Oreochromis niloticus: one gene and its partner. Each later gene encodes a partner of the first gene's protein in a complex. Links are inferred from orthologs where the notes say so. Each region holds a gene or a part of one and is shown in the gene's direction. Other genes may lie near its edges.

Region 1 (7,749 bases):
CTGTGTTTACAAAGGGTGCTGGATTAACTGGTTCTGCAGCTTTATTATAACAGCCGTAGAGACAGACTGTAGCTGTGATTACTGCAGCAGAATGACATGCCACCTTAACTCTGAATTTAACATGACTGTTTTTATTTGCTGTAACATTATACACCAATTTTTATGTGCACCCAGTGATGGATTCACTGTCCAAGTCCCCGTCAGTGATGCTCCGCAGGCTCAGATGCTACTGTAGCTGTCTACAGCAGTGCAAGTTAAACCACACTGGCAGCTGGAGGACAACAACAGTGTCCGTAAACAGCTTCAATCACCACAGCAAGGCTGAGCAGCTGCAGCCGTGCTCACAGCCAGCAGCTGGTTACTCTAACAGAATGGCCTTTTAAAATGAATAAAAAGCGCAAACACATCATGGCACATTTCATTTCTGTAGTATTAACCCTTAACTGTCTGCGTCTTATAGCTGGACAGGAGCCACACACCGACTGTATGGAGGGATCACAATGAATGTGAAGCATTTTCCTCTTCTATGTATGCAAAATATTTGTGAGGCACCACAAAACTAAGACAAAATACTGGATTCAATAAAATACTCAATCTATTTTCCAGCTAAAATGACAAAAAACTGGAGAGCAGCTGCCGGCCTGAGCACAACATGCCTTTAACGTAGTGTTTAACTCGACTTTCTGATCATTCGGTGTTTAAATAAAGATACACAGGCCTGGTTTGTCATAAATATTCAGTTACTTTTTCAATTTCATTAAAAAGTTTCATTAAAAAATGTGGCATCTAAACTGATCACTCTCTGAGGAATCCAGTCAGACTTTATCTTCATGTAGTAGAAGGAAGTTAACCTTTCATGATATCAGATGTCGGACACGGAGCCGTACCTGATGAGGGAAGATGAGGAGCTTTGTATCCAAGATGGCTCAGCTCAGCTAACTGCCCCTGATCTTCATCATCATCCTCTAAATAAGGCATGAGTTCTGAGGAGGGATGATTCTGTGAAAAGCAATAAATACCTTTGTATCTTACATTTGAAATGTAACTAATTAACACAGGCCTGTGTGAATTACACCAGGAAGAAACCTTAGAACTTACACTGGTTCCTAGTCTCATCTGATCAATGAGGTTCTCTGCCTCTGCGTATTTGGTGAGTAATTTATCATATTCAGCCTAAAGAAAATAGAGAGGATGGATGTTACAGCTCTATCTAAGAAAACAGTAATGCAATGATGACAGAAAATATCAGCTAAAGAAAATGAAAGTCTAACGTTCATTTGCAATGCAAAGATATGATCTGAATGCTTTCTACCTGCAGATGGTGCACCAGTGCAGGAGGAGTGTGCTTTTCTTCATCTTTAAAGACATTAGCTTTCCCGGCTGGCAGGACTGAGTCCTCCAAGACTCTGCTGATCACCTCTAACATGCCTGGGGAAGACTGAGCTCTGTGAATGGTGCTAGGGCACTGAGGAAGTGATCTGGCTGGGGTTTTGGGGATTTTCACTTTAGGGGCAACCTTGGAGAAGTCAGGGAGCGGGTAATGGACTTGGCCTTGGCCATACTTCATCTCGCTGAAGGATCTTGTACGCACCAGAGGAACTCTCTGAACCTGCTCTTCCTCCTCATCTGCTTTGTCCTGCTTTACTTCATCTGCACTGAAATCCTCACTGCTCTGCTTAGAATCTGTACTTTCAGAGTTGGATGTGCTGTTTGCATAAGCACCAGATGTGAAAGTAGGAGTCTTCTTTTGTATCTGCTCTTCTGAACTTGCTTTTTTTGATGCAGCATTACTCTTTTCATCTGAGCTCTCTGTGTGGTTATTATTCACTGCTTTGCTGTTGTGTGTTGGAGCCCAGCTAAAAACACTGTCGTCTGCACTCTCCAACAGGGACACCTCTGGCAGGGTCTCTGCCTCGATCAGCCTACCCAGCCGCAGCAATTCCTCCTGGGAGAAGTGCCGCAGCAATAACTGGTTAATGTCTGCAGCACCAGGATGCGGTCCACCAAGCTCACTTTGCTTGAAAGCATCAAAAACGTTGTCCTGCTTTGTGCTGATATCGTCTTGCAATAATTCAAGCTGACCAGAAAGATCAGGACTTGTATGAACAGTGTGTCCTCCATCAGAGCTAATGTTTCCCTCAGAGGAATCTTTCTTGTTGAAGTAAGGGCTTCCAATGTTCCCATCATATGGCAAGTCCTCCTGATCCTCATCACTGGTATTTTGTCCAGTGTCCTCACTTCCCTGGTTTATGGGCAGCTCATCTTGGATGGTTTTTGATCTTTGGGAAGACACATGTAAGAGGTTTCTCTTGGAACTGCTCTCTAGAACCCTCCCGCTCTGACTGCCCACACTGCTCTCTGAGGAGGAGTCATCCAACCCAGACAGCTCCGCGTCCCCTGCAAATTAAAAACCCAAATACCATGAAAACCTAATTACAGGGTCATGTTGATTCCATTAAATTAGCTTGTTGTGATTTTTAAGGCTAATGATGAGAGTGAAAACTAGCTCATGACTTTGCAAAAAATATATGTCATTGCATTTGTTTTGTCACACCTGAAGTGAGCAAAAAAACATAGCAGATGTTTAACATCCTGCATGCCAACATATTTATAATGATGTATTATTAAAAAATTTGTTTTATCTAAACTTTTCATCACATACGCAGTAATTCACCGTAGTATACAAGAAACCTGACACAATAAACAACAGTGCTTGCATGTCTTACCACTAAGATGGATGCTTGCTTCAGAGGCAGCAGACTCTGCCTGGGACAGATGCAAGGCCAAAGAACTCTCCAGATCACTGAAGTGGAGACTTTCATCCTCACTGAGATCAACAAAGAAGCTCTGCTCGATGCATTTTTCCCACAGCACTACGGATCTGTCCTCCCCCTGAACATCCTCATCCGACTCTCCCAGGTCTCCCTCCATGGACTCTGCAACAGAAAAATGGATGCACTGTTCAATATCTCCTCACCTCTGTTAAGAAAAAAGGAGGGTGAGAAAACTGAACGAAGCACCATTCATCTCTTAGCAACGCAACCTACAGAGTGACAACACTGGATCAAAAAGCACTAAGGTGTCAATTATTCAACAATCAATACAATGTGTGCACAGAAGATTGCGTGCCGCAAGGGTGTAAAGTTTTTGAGTTAATTATGTGCTTGGATGAAACGCATTGTGTCTGTTTTGAGTGTCTGACAGCAGCAGAAGGCTTATGAATAAATATATAGATAAATATTTTTTAAAAAGTAATTCATCTATTTCATTCAGAAATAAATAATTTGTTTTAAATGGGTTCTTCCTTCATAGAATAGAAATAATCCTTAGTTTTAGTATCTGTGACTTTGCTAAAAATTTAGACACAATGTGACTGATGAGGCACTGATGGACGTGAATACTAAGATTTTTAGATGTGCACAAGACTGTCAGTCAACTGCTTTCTAAAAGCTGTGTTTTCAATATAAAACCTGTACTGATTTTCCTAAATCTTACATCTGACACATGCCCTCCATACAATAATAATAATTTAAAAGACTAAATCTAACACTGAAACTATTAAAAGCTAAACTATATAAATACACTCTGTGAACTAAACTGAATTAAAAACACAAAATCAAATTAAATAAAACCCCAATTAGAAAATACAATATCATAACGACTCTGCTGTGTAGCCCCTGACCCTCTGAACCAAGAAAAAACCACTATGCTAAAAGAAAAGTGTCTGTGTCATAATATAAAACTATTATCTATACAAAAACAAATTGTAAAATACATTTTGCAACACATAGGAATCTGTTAATATTGCACATCATTAATATAGAGTTAATTATACCTATATAATAGCCTGATATGATATTTCAATAGATCATAAGTTTTTGCATGTATGTTAACAAAATCTGTCATGTGATATATGTATTCAGGTACTTGTTACCATAACCGTAATAACTACATTTCATAAGAGCGGTGGAGCAAAAGTATATAAAGTACATATATCTCCTACTACAAGTTACATGTGAGTGTTACCAAACACGTTTAAGCTTCTGTACTGTTTCTGCATGTAAGTCTGAGCTGCATTTCAGTGACATAGTGCCACTGAAATGCTTTGCTGGCGGTGGTCACTTACCTTGGTTGTGTTTAGCCAGCTGGTTCTTCTTCAGCAGTGTGCCATTACCTTTAAGTTGATCCCGGTCTTGAAACTAGCAGCGATGGTTTAATATCTCCCCCCTTCTTTCTTGACATATGCCTTCCTGAACAGGTTTCGTTTTTGTGGCATCATTAATAATGGATACAAGGCAGCGCTGAACGTCTGGACCCGCGGTGACAGCAGCGTGCATGACACTAGCGGGGTCTCGTTGCTAGGTAACGGTGCTGAAACGTCCTCCAAAAGGCTGCTAGCAAGTGACAGTTTTGGGCTATTGGCCATTACATACTTATTCTCTCTTTAAAAATAAGTATGGGAATGTGTAGACTTTCACCTTCCTAAATAATGTGTATTAACACAGTGCCGAAGCCCCACAAGTGTGCAAGGCGTGTCAAACTTTCAAACATAATAAAGCTCGTGCTTGTCTCAGCTACGTTATCACAAAAACGTCACCCTTCACCATTCAAATCGGTTCGTCCAATGAATTTTATGCAGGGGCGTGACTAAATTTGAATGCCGCTCTCTGATTGGCTACTTGGCGAAAACACATAAAGCTAGTGCACCCGCAAGGGGTTTCTTCGTATTTATCGAAGTTAAATCGAAGTTTTTACCGAAGTTGGAGGATAATGTAGCCGTAGGCTGAATATAGTACAGCTTGTTGTTATATTACAGGCGTCCACTTTTTTTCTCCCCCGTAAACGCACCCATGTTTTTAATCTCGTGAGACACTAAAGAAAAGAAGACAAGTCACCTCTGTTCGAGCTGGATCGCCTAACGTAAGTTTAGCAGCTAACAGGCTAACGGTGCTAGTCTTTAGCTGGATGTTGGTGGTGATGTGTGAATGAATTAACTGGTTATGAATAAAGCTAAAGAGACAGCCATAAGATTAACTAATCTGGGACACCATAGCTCTGACAGTGGTGTCCATAATGCGAAGTAATTTCTTCACTTTAAAGTAGTTATCACTGGAGCTGATATTAAAAATCTATAGATGAATTGTCACCATTAGTGTAGTGTAGGGCATAGCTTTACTGTTTGGTATATAGTATATAGTTTGGTATAGGCTATAGTGTATTGCTAACAAGTGTTATACTTGTGCAGTTGGTTTATATTGCATGATTATGACCACTTTTATCGTACGTAATTCATTTCTTACCGTAGTTGCACTCATGTTAGTGTAGTAATGGTCATGAGAGCATGCACTCAAACGCACAGTCTTGTATACCTCTACATCTGATTGTATTGTTATTACTATACGGTGTACACAATATACCCAGTTGCCAGCATATTAGCTCCACTTAACTGTAACTAGTGCAACCGGCTTTTTGTTTATTTAGTCTATCCTTTAGGTAGGTGTAGCTGTGTGTATGTCATCAAGTGTAATGTAATTCAATATTTAATGTAGTCTGTATTAAGCCCTGTTTTAATATAAAAAAAACCCCTGAATAGCCAGCATTGCAACACATGTTTATGAACTTTGAGGTTATTTATGGTTGTAACATTGTTTCTTCCAGGCTTCCCAGATTTCCTGTTCCTGTGTGGAAGAATTACCGGTCAGTATCCCAGTACTTAACTTTTGTTTTGGTGTGGGGTTTTTTTGCTGCCTCATGGTGTGATGCCAAGTGGTGCTTCCATATTTAGGTTTTGTTGTCAGAGGCAGTAGTCATTTTAGAGCATCAAAACATAGAAAATAGCTCATATCGGTTGTGTGTTAAGGATGAAATCATGTTCTTGTTTGTGACTCAAAAAGGAGTCGGCGATTAGCTCCCGTGAAGCTGTCATTAAAAACGGCATCTTTATTTTTCTTTCTTTGGACCTTTATGCATCAGTAACTTTTCTCTGTTTCACTTTTGTTCATGCACACTGTAGTTTTATGAGCCAGACAGAGTTCTCAGAAACACACCCAGATGGCATATGGTGTTGGAAAAAGCTGCAAGGATGTTGGCACACAACAGTCGATCATTATATTAATGTGCAGGAACATGTACGGTAAAGCTCCCAAAGCTCTGGGCATTAATCACAACCATTTACAATCATTTACAGAGCAGCAGGAATAACAGGATTGTCAAAAAGTTGACTCCACCAACTATGTATATATATATATATATATATATATATACATACATATATATGTGTGTGTGTGTGTGTGTGTATATACACATACAACATACAGGTTGTATGTGTATATGTACACACTCAGGGCAGAGTTTGAGAGAGATTTGCTGTTATTCAAATGTCATTAAAAACTGCAAAAAATTGAAATCTCTCAAAAACTTGTTTAAAAATAAAAATTATATTGTTATTATGTTGTTATTTAGTAGACAAATAACAAACAAACAAAATTTGCTATTGTACACTCAAATTACAGTTTATATAAAAAACAATATATAATTATTGTCCTTCACTATTTTTTTCAGGTTTTTTGCAAAATAGTAAATTTGAATATTCTTGGATAATAACAAAAAGTACATTTTAGCTAGAAAAGCTAAAAAAAAAGAAAAAAAAAGACTTTGCACATAGTAGTGGATTTAATATAATAGAAATATAAAAATGTTTTGGTAACTAACAATTTAATTAAGGGCAGTGTGGCATGAACCTTCCATTGGGTTGTGGTTGGATACGTTTGTTAAGCACTGTATGTGCAGCATAGATTTTTTCAGTTTCTACTGCGTTGTGCCTTAGAGATTTTTGTCTTTAATCTCAAATGAAAATTGAATTGAAGTGATGTTTCTTGTTATCAAAGCACCTTTTTGTGCTGCTGTGGGTCTAATGATTAACTCTAATACTTAACAAGAGGAACAGTTTATTAATCAAAGTTCCTGATATTAGGTTTTTGTGAATATTGGCTTTCTTGTTATGTATGGATTTGTAAATTTAGTAAGCAATATTACCTAATATAATATAATGTTTCATTGACTGTAAAATAGCACTCATCAATCACATAATCTAATTATAATCATGACCATTCTCAGTTGTTACTACCATCCTGATCACTTCTTCATTTTGGGGTTTTTAATTTGAGCCAGCTTATCTTTGATGTAGCTGAACAAATGCTCTGTTGGAAACAAATAATCACTCATTATGGCTCATTAGGCCACCTACTGCATGTCTGTCTTGTAATTTAGTTGCTATTTAACATAAAGATGTAACCCAGTTTGCAAATAACTGGCCTGCCCCATTTCCCATATTGTGGTTGTGTGTGTCTGTGTGTGTGTGCGCGCGTTCAGGGGAGGAGCTGACGGTTTAAACTTGGGGAACTAATGGGTGTGGCAAGAATAACCTCATGCTGAAATTAGGTAATGGCTGGTTTAGATTTTTACTTGAAGCAGTCTCTACTTTCCATGTAGCACGCTTATTGCTGTCCTTTCCTTTGGTGGAAGTAGCGTACATGCAGCAAGTCTCTCTGCTTTTTCCCAGATTCTCAGTTTACCTTGTTTTTGGGGGGAGATTTTTTGTTTGTTTGTTTGTTTTTTTTGTTTTAAACCAATCATGCAGCAGGTTTCTGGTTGCTTTTTCTTTCTTTTCAGCTACTTCCTAGGCCATGATTTCCATTCACACACACTGTAGATATTTTTTCCTCCTGCTTTGCTATACCTGTGGAGCAC
Region 2 (7,556 bases), on another chromosome or scaffold:
TTAAAGATCAGCATACCCAAGGCCCCCCCCACAACGGCTGTTGTCTTGTGCCTTGATGTAGAACAATTTACATGAACATGATTGTACAGTTTCTGTTTAGAGACAATAAAGAAGACCCGAGCGAGGATGCAGAAAATGAAGACCAATTAATATTGTAAACAATATTGTGAAAACAAGTTTCAGCAAGATTAAAATGTATTTTAGATACACTCGGGTTTGGGGTACTTGTGTTGTTCTTCAAAGGTTTTTAAGCAAGTGTAGAAGGACGCTGAGTGACTGTGAAGTTGATTATATAAGGAGAAGTTTATATTTGTATTATTAATACTGATAAATACTGTCCACAAATTACGAATGATGGAATCTCACAGGCAGAGAGCTCTTTGTAAGTCGCTGATTAGAAATCTGACACTATTTCCCACTGACGAATGCACAATCACGTCGTGAAAACATGTAGCACACGTTTATAATTTGGCAAAGTATTGGAAAGAAAAACGGAATCCACAGTCATACACACTCCTGTTGCACAGCTGAATGTGTGAACACATCAGTTTCATTGGAAATATTTCTGATGACACCGCAGTGGCATGGATATGTTACAATACATGTTGATACAAGAAAAAAACAGTGCATGGGGAATTGCTTAATAAAATGCAGCCAAACCTGCCGTCAGAGTTGTTCTTTAGCTTCAGTGAAGGTAAATGTTCACCACTTATTTCAGCACACAAAAGCCAAGTCTTGATTTTACAAGAAAGGCTTGGCCGTAAATGTTATCTAAGAGATTCAGCTTGTACCTTTGCACACATTGTTTTTTTAATTGTGAAACATTAATAGCTGCATGATTGAACATTTTGCGGCTCACTTGTTTTTGCAGCAGAACTCCAATAGATGGCAACATAATTACCAAAGTTTCAGTGAGTCTCACAGATCTGCCTCAAGTGATGGAAACACTGAAATAGTCATCTCCATATAAGTTAACTCCTTGATTAAGCTTTTTTTTTCTTTCATTTTCCCAAACAATTAACCAAATGAGGAAGAATATCTGAACCTAGAAAAGAGTGAAAAGCAAAATGAAAAGGCACAAGTAATAAAATGATTATATGGGTTTTGTGTTTGAACTCTTGTTTGTTTTGTTACGAAGATAAAGACCTGCTGAACTCTCATGTAGGTCTATGATGAAGAGAAACATATAATCCAAGAGTAAATCGAAGACTATTTAATTCTTGAGTGGTCATTTGTAAGACTGAGAAGAGTACAAACTACATAAAAGGCTCAAAGAAAAGTGCACATCATTAGTAAGCAACAAAAAAATGACTCTAGCTGTATTTGGAAAATTATGTAACAGGAAATCAAATATTTAATCACATTAATTGCACAAACTGGAAAAGATAAATATCATACAAATACATTATTACCATTTTATGCTGTATTTTCCCAGGAATAGCACACTTTGAGTGTACTGCCAGTAGTTTCAAACCATTTGATGTGAAGGGTTTCCAAGCAAAATCACAGACGGAGAACTAAAAACAAAATACTTGAAGGAGGGATAAATAAAGGCCCTACAGTTTTGGATAGCAAATACGGGATTGCAAGTCAGGAAACTGAGGGGATAATGAGCCCGTTCAATAAGGGTGAAAGTGAAAAACAGGATATGGTTGATCCTATTTGGCTGCACGGATGAATGCCAAGTGTGCACCAGAGCAAATGCAAGATATCTGAGTGCATCGTGCACGCAAGAGTTGTCAGTACCATGAAAGCAAATGTACTTTTGTCAAACATCGTATTTAGTTTCTATGAATTACATCGACTCTGCGAGGAAAAATGGCAACCGATCAACATCAGGCACGCTAGATCAGTGCTGTAGACATTTAGAGAAATAAATGTTTGGTCTTGATTCTAGCCGCTCAACTGGATGACTTATTATTTCCCCGATGACAGGATATGTCTGACTAATATGTGAACTTATGCTATGGGAGTATAAACAGAAAAGGAGATTTGTGCTTCATTCCTTCTCGAGCCTTCAAACCCTCGTCTGTCAGTTGTTTTTACAGTCTTTCCACTTATTCTTTCTTGCTCTCACTATCTGTCTGCTTATATGCCTGAGGAAATCGCTGCTGAAGTTGAATCCATGCTGGAATCCACATGGAAACTTTTCCTGCATGACAGATAAGGAAAAAAATAAACCCTATATTCTGATAATTGAGGGGGGTGATAGGTTGAGGGTTGATTTGTGGGGTTGGTTTGGTTTTGGGGCTTTTTTCTCAGCAATAATCTTACAATCTCACTATGCCAATGAGAATAACAGTCATAATGGTATGCAGCTGCTTTTTAATGGGGCCCTTGCAATTGGAAATTAGACAGTTCATATAAGAAAACCAATCATTTGGCCCTCTACTCCAAAGAGAGGATGCACTGCTCGTCCAATTCCAAGAAATCTACACCACAAACCAATTTCAAAACCTGGGGTTTTGGACGATGCTTCGCTTGAACGATTTATTGGAATAGTTTGAAATTTGTGGAAAATGAGTCATATTTCAATGTATCTTTTAATCCTTGTTATTTCTTAACAATGTTTAATAAAACTTTGTCAGCACATACAAGCAACCAGAAAAATGTAGCTGCCTGGCAGAACTATATTTCCACCACCAACGAGGTTAGGTTTTTGGTAGGATTCTCTCTGTAAACATGATATCTTTAAAAGTTTTGAATGAAAACTAAGTAGGGGTGCAGAGTGGGGTCATGTTAACAATTCATCATAATTTGCCTTATATCCACCAAGGTCTTCAAGGTCAGCTTAATGATTTATCGGTCAAAAAATTGACAAAAAGTCTTAGAAATTAGAAACTATGATTCCCGTGTACTATCAACATATAGAAAGTACCGTATAAGGATTTTAAAAAAAATCATATTACATTTGACCTTTGACCTCTTATTCAAAGTGCGTAGAAGTTTTAATAATGCAGAGTTATTTAAAACTGTTTCTTACTGCTGTTGATTGTACTGAGGGCTTTCTAAATATCTCATTATTTTCATTATTTTATTTTGACTTTGTTATGAACAATACAGTAGCAGGTTATAACTGTTATATTATATAATGTAATATGCTACTCATGTACTATGTCCACATAAATAATAATAAAAAAAAACAATTGTACTCAAAATTATGTGAAGTATTTTAAAATGGGTTTCAACACGGCAAATAACAAAAGACACACATTTTCTGACTGCACCACAAACTCAATATTTAAAAAAAACAAAGAAAATAAATATAAAGAAAATACAATTTACTGTTTCATTTTTGTCACATTGAATTCTTTTTTTAGTATTATCATTGATGTCTTTTTTTTTAATATAGTAATGTGATTTCCTGCACGTATGTAGCAATAGCATCATAACATCAACAGTAATCACTTAGAAATATTTAAATCTTTAGGTACATATATCAGAAAAAAATGAAGGAAGTTTAAAATAATGGCTCTGATGTGATTTTGACTATATTTACAATTAAATTGTGTCTGGCTGAGGATTACCTTCACACATCGCAATGTGACTCTCAGTCTGCTTTTGACTCTCCTGATGGTTTTGCCAGGAAATGAGGTAAGATTTCTGAGGAAATTAGGTGTTTATGTTCAGATTTCAACTAAAGCTAATATTTATCAACACCCTAAAGTATAACAGGCCTGTGTTGTGGGCATGGGAGTGCGTGTGTAGTGGTACCCGCTTCATAAAGTCACATAATAATTAGTCACTCAAGAATACGTAGCAACACTAGTGGCAACAACCCAGACCAGCTGAGTCTCAGTTGTAATGGGAACCAGCCGACAGCCGTTTATATTTTCATTTTCCTTCCTCATTTTTAAAGCCTCGAGTTTTTCCATAAGGTAGTCATTTCCAAGGCTGACGTGAAACCAGACACCCATGAGTACTCATGGTAACGGTCCAGAAACAACATAAGGCTGGGCCCAACATCCTTTCACCTTCCCCAATCCCCCCATACCGTCTTGTGAGACTGCTCCTGAGAAGGTAAACACCCTTTCACTGCGTCAGAAATGAGATTTCTTTCTGCTGCGATGGCAGTTCCTTCAACTGGCTTTCTTTCTTTCTCCCCCTTGTACTTCTCCTCCCCTCCCTCCCTGTGCTGCCACATCTGGAACCCAGCTCCTCATTTATTTATGTGGTCTGTTGTGTTTCTCTTTTTTTTTTCCAAGAGCCTTATTTTAAAGTCCTTTACCTTGTCTTGTTGGCAGTTTCTCTATATCTGATGAGGTCTACAATTACATCCCACCATAACTGGTCACTCTGCAATTACATGCTCCACCACAGAATCCCCCCCACCTCCTCTCTCTGAAAAGCACCACTGCTCATATGGCAGACCAAAATAGACTAGTTTCATGTCTGTTTGGATGGCAGCCCAGCTGAAACTATGCTCAGCTGCTTGACTGACAGTGGGATGTGGGTTTGTTCTCCTCAAGAAAAACCTTTAAGGCCAGTCACGTTTACACTCTGAGCAGTCTTACTGCAGCAGGCTTCAGAGGTGGTTGGTCCAGCTGGGCTCCGAGAAGGAAGACAGAGACTAAGTCAGCGTGAATGAAAGTGAAGACACACAGAGAGAGTGTGCTGAGAAGTACTACGAGCTGTAACTATGAACCCGACTGGACACGCTTAAAGCTTTCAGTTGCTGACAAAGAGAATGGGTAAGTTTTGCAAAGAGTTCAGTCTGATCTCAAATTCTGGGAATAGTGAAACGCTTCTGTCAAGGAACTTTGGGAAACTTTAGCTTGCATGACTTAGCTGTGAAGCATTCAAATACAAAACTTAAAAGAGAATGCAGGGCATCTGTGGCAGATCATCTGGTTTTTTCCAAGCGCTCACAGACTTTTCCAGTTGGCGATGCTGTTGCCGTGTTGAGTAAGGTGCAGCTGGAAACTCATTAGGGATGTGAATTATTTAAATCTCATAAGCACAGGAGACGTGAAAAGCAACCAAGCTCAAAGTGTCAGATAGGAAAAGGACACAAAATTAAGTTCGGATCTCTAGAAGTCCTACAAAAGTGTAAATACTTTTGAATATGGTTATTAATGATCAATACATAATACTCACAAGTCGTCAGCATATGCGCTTCCTGCTGTAGGTTTTTCATTACCTTGGAACTTAAAATGAATGTTATTGGAATTTTGGTAAGTCCAGTGTTTGCTCCCCTTTTGCTCTGTTTTTGGTCTCTACCAAGCTGATAGCTTTAGCTGCTAAATTCTGCACTATTTTCTTCAGTTTTAACATCATATTATTTTATAGTGCTACTTAGTCATAAAAAGAATCTACAGGATAGAACTTTTTTGCTGAATCAGCCTTCATACATGCGCTACAAAATGAATCATCAACATAACCAAAGAAAAACTCCTCTCTTTCAAATAACAGTTAAAACCATCATCATAGCTGACTGACTCGTACACTTTACCCCGTCTTCTAAATGCTTTTGTTATAATCGAATTAAGTATGAATGGTCCTTTTGGGATACAGCAAAGTTTTCTCAGATGCGAGGTATTCTGCGCGTTTGTGTTTGAGTCACATTGGAGTTGAACTCCACCGTGTTCAACTCCAACTTTCTGCTATAACTGTTTAGAATAGGCTGACCTGGTTCGTGTGGGAATGATGGAAGCTCAGACTCTGCAAAACAACAAAGATTACAATGAGGCCGGTGGTAATGATGAGGACACATGCCTTTACTACAGGCTTCTGTCTGTTTGTGATGTGGTTGTGAGCAATGTGTGTATGCATGACAAAGGCAATTAGTGACTACATGAGAGATGTGTCATGTTTTTTCATATGAACCCTGAGAGTTTATAGGCGCTACCACGCTGGTCTGTTCACCATATCCATTTTAGGAGATGTTACCTGTGTTCTCAGTAGAAATGTATGAGTAGAAAAAAAGACCACTGACCAGCAATATTCAATCTGAATCAGAAGCATTTCATGTCCAAGCAAATCCCTGTGTAATTATGTGCAAAACAACAGCACACAAGACCTAACGGTGAATCTCTGTAGATTCAATACATTATGATAATGCAGTGTTGTAATGGTGCACTCTTAATTTATGCTCCAAGCAAACGATAAACACCCAGTTTTATAAACCATGACACAAGTTGACTATTCAGCTTAAAATAGGCCAGCAGTATTTGTGGATGATGATCGAACCTAAGCTGTTTGTCATTGGAGAGTAAACATTAATATGAAGTCAAAGCTGAGGTGCAGATTTTTTAATAAGTTCTTATCCACAGACTATAGACTGAGACAGCTACATGATTATTCATTTTAAAGAATGATTTCAGCTTCCGTAATGTAGGCTATAACCCAATGTGTTCATTAGGACTGTCACGATGTTAAAGATCAATGTCAAGCATTAAGAAAAAGTACTGAAAAACTATAAACTCATATTTAAATTTAACAGAATGAAAGACGTTCTCATCAGGTTATAGCCTGATGAACATACTAAGCACGTGTTTTTTTTAGCTAATGTTTATGACTAGCTTGGCTCCCACCTCATTTTCATTGCTAAGCTTAAGTGTGTTGATACTAATAAGTACTCTACTGCAGTGCACAAGTACCTAAATGAAAAAAGTCCAAAAGTTGGTTGCCTACAATCTGTAATTGTAACAGAAAGGAAGAGATTGCTCATCAGTTTTCAGAAACATGGCGATGCCAGGTCTCGCTAGCTAGCTAGTAGCATCATTCCCCCCATGTTGAATTAAATAAGTGCATGGTGTACACTGTGTACTTAAAGTATCTAAATACAAGTAGACAAAATGAGACAATGTGCAACAATTCTTTCCTGTGGTTTGGGCCTCATAAATTCTCTTACTGGAGATGAATTTAATTACATTAATTTAAGTTGACTGCCATTTTTACATTTAAAATTTATCTATTCGGAGAGGCTGCAGTCTAAACAGAGCTCAGACCTTCCTCTTCCTCATTTTATATTTAAGCAGAACATTATCAAACGTTTATTCTCAGATGACAGGTTACGACTGCTGTTTCCCTTAATATCTGTTTAGCACTTCTTCTAATAATACAGTACATGGTTGCTTAGGGATAAATCTGCCATGATTCTCCTCTTGCCTGTCTGATGAACAGCTTAGGAGGGCGTGTTGTGGTCAGCATGAACCGCACATGCAGGTGTGGCCCTCACTGTGCTGCCACGCTGTTTAATTAGGTTTTCGGGTGTGGAATATCAGGGTTTCCGCTGTAAAAAATGTCGTCTCTCCACAGTCTCACCCCCACACATTGTCCTGTCACATTAAAAGAGTGCCAGTCTAGATGAACAGTTACTGTCACTGAGGGTGTGGCTGCTACTAAATCTGGAAACATGAAGCTGCACTTGACTCCACGGAAGTCTGGCTTTTGAGAGCTCATTGCCAAAGCATTATGCAGTCAGAACCGTGTCTGTGATGCTGAAGTGGTTTTTTATACTGAACATGAGAACTTCTTTCATCTATCAAAAACTGTCAAACCCTTTCAGTATATTTGCTCCTATAATTAAAGGCTCCTTAAAGTTGCTGACAACC

Evidence for each region.
Region 2: the proteins of gpsm2 (region 1) and insc are in contact, whole or in part, in a crystal structure (PDB 3RO3), measured with the Mus musculus proteins. The link is inferred for Oreochromis niloticus from reciprocal best matches to the Homo sapiens genes GPSM2 and INSC. Residues at the interface, in NP_083798.2 of Mus musculus: Asn210, Tyr213, Leu214, Phe218, Arg242, Ser246, Asn247, Asn250, Ile253, Phe254, Tyr265, Gln283, Tyr286, Ser287, Asn290, Thr291, Thr293, Leu294, Arg323, Trp326, Ser327, Asn330; in XP_006507722.1 of Mus musculus: Val72, Asp73, Ser74, Val75, Arg77, Trp78, Met79, Asp81, Leu82, Lys83, Leu84, Met85, Thr86, Glu87.

Annotation. Positions count from the first base shown.
Region 1 is NC_031982.2:13,949,666-13,957,414, forward strand, and holds the start of gpsm2 (G-protein-signaling modulator 2), read left to right. Parts: upstream 1-4,730; 5' UTR 4,731-4,920; intron 4,921-5,658; 5' UTR 5,659-5,697; intron 5,698-7,371; 5' UTR 7,372-7,440; intron 7,441-7,749. Other genes in the region: protein AKNAD1, read right to left, coding at 888-999, 1,099-1,173, 1,313-2,397, 2,727-2,931. UniProt on the Homo sapiens protein: Plays an important role in mitotic spindle pole organization via its interaction with NUMA1. Required for cortical dynein-dynactin complex recruitment during metaphase. Plays a role in metaphase spindle orientation.
Region 2 is NC_031972.2:42,885,485-42,893,040, forward strand, and holds the start of insc (protein inscuteable homolog), read left to right. Parts: upstream 1-4,428; 5' UTR 4,429-4,691; intron 4,692-7,556. UniProt on the Homo sapiens protein: May function as an adapter linking the Par3 complex to the GPSM1/GPSM2 complex. Involved in spindle orientation during mitosis. May regulate cell proliferation and differentiation in the developing nervous system.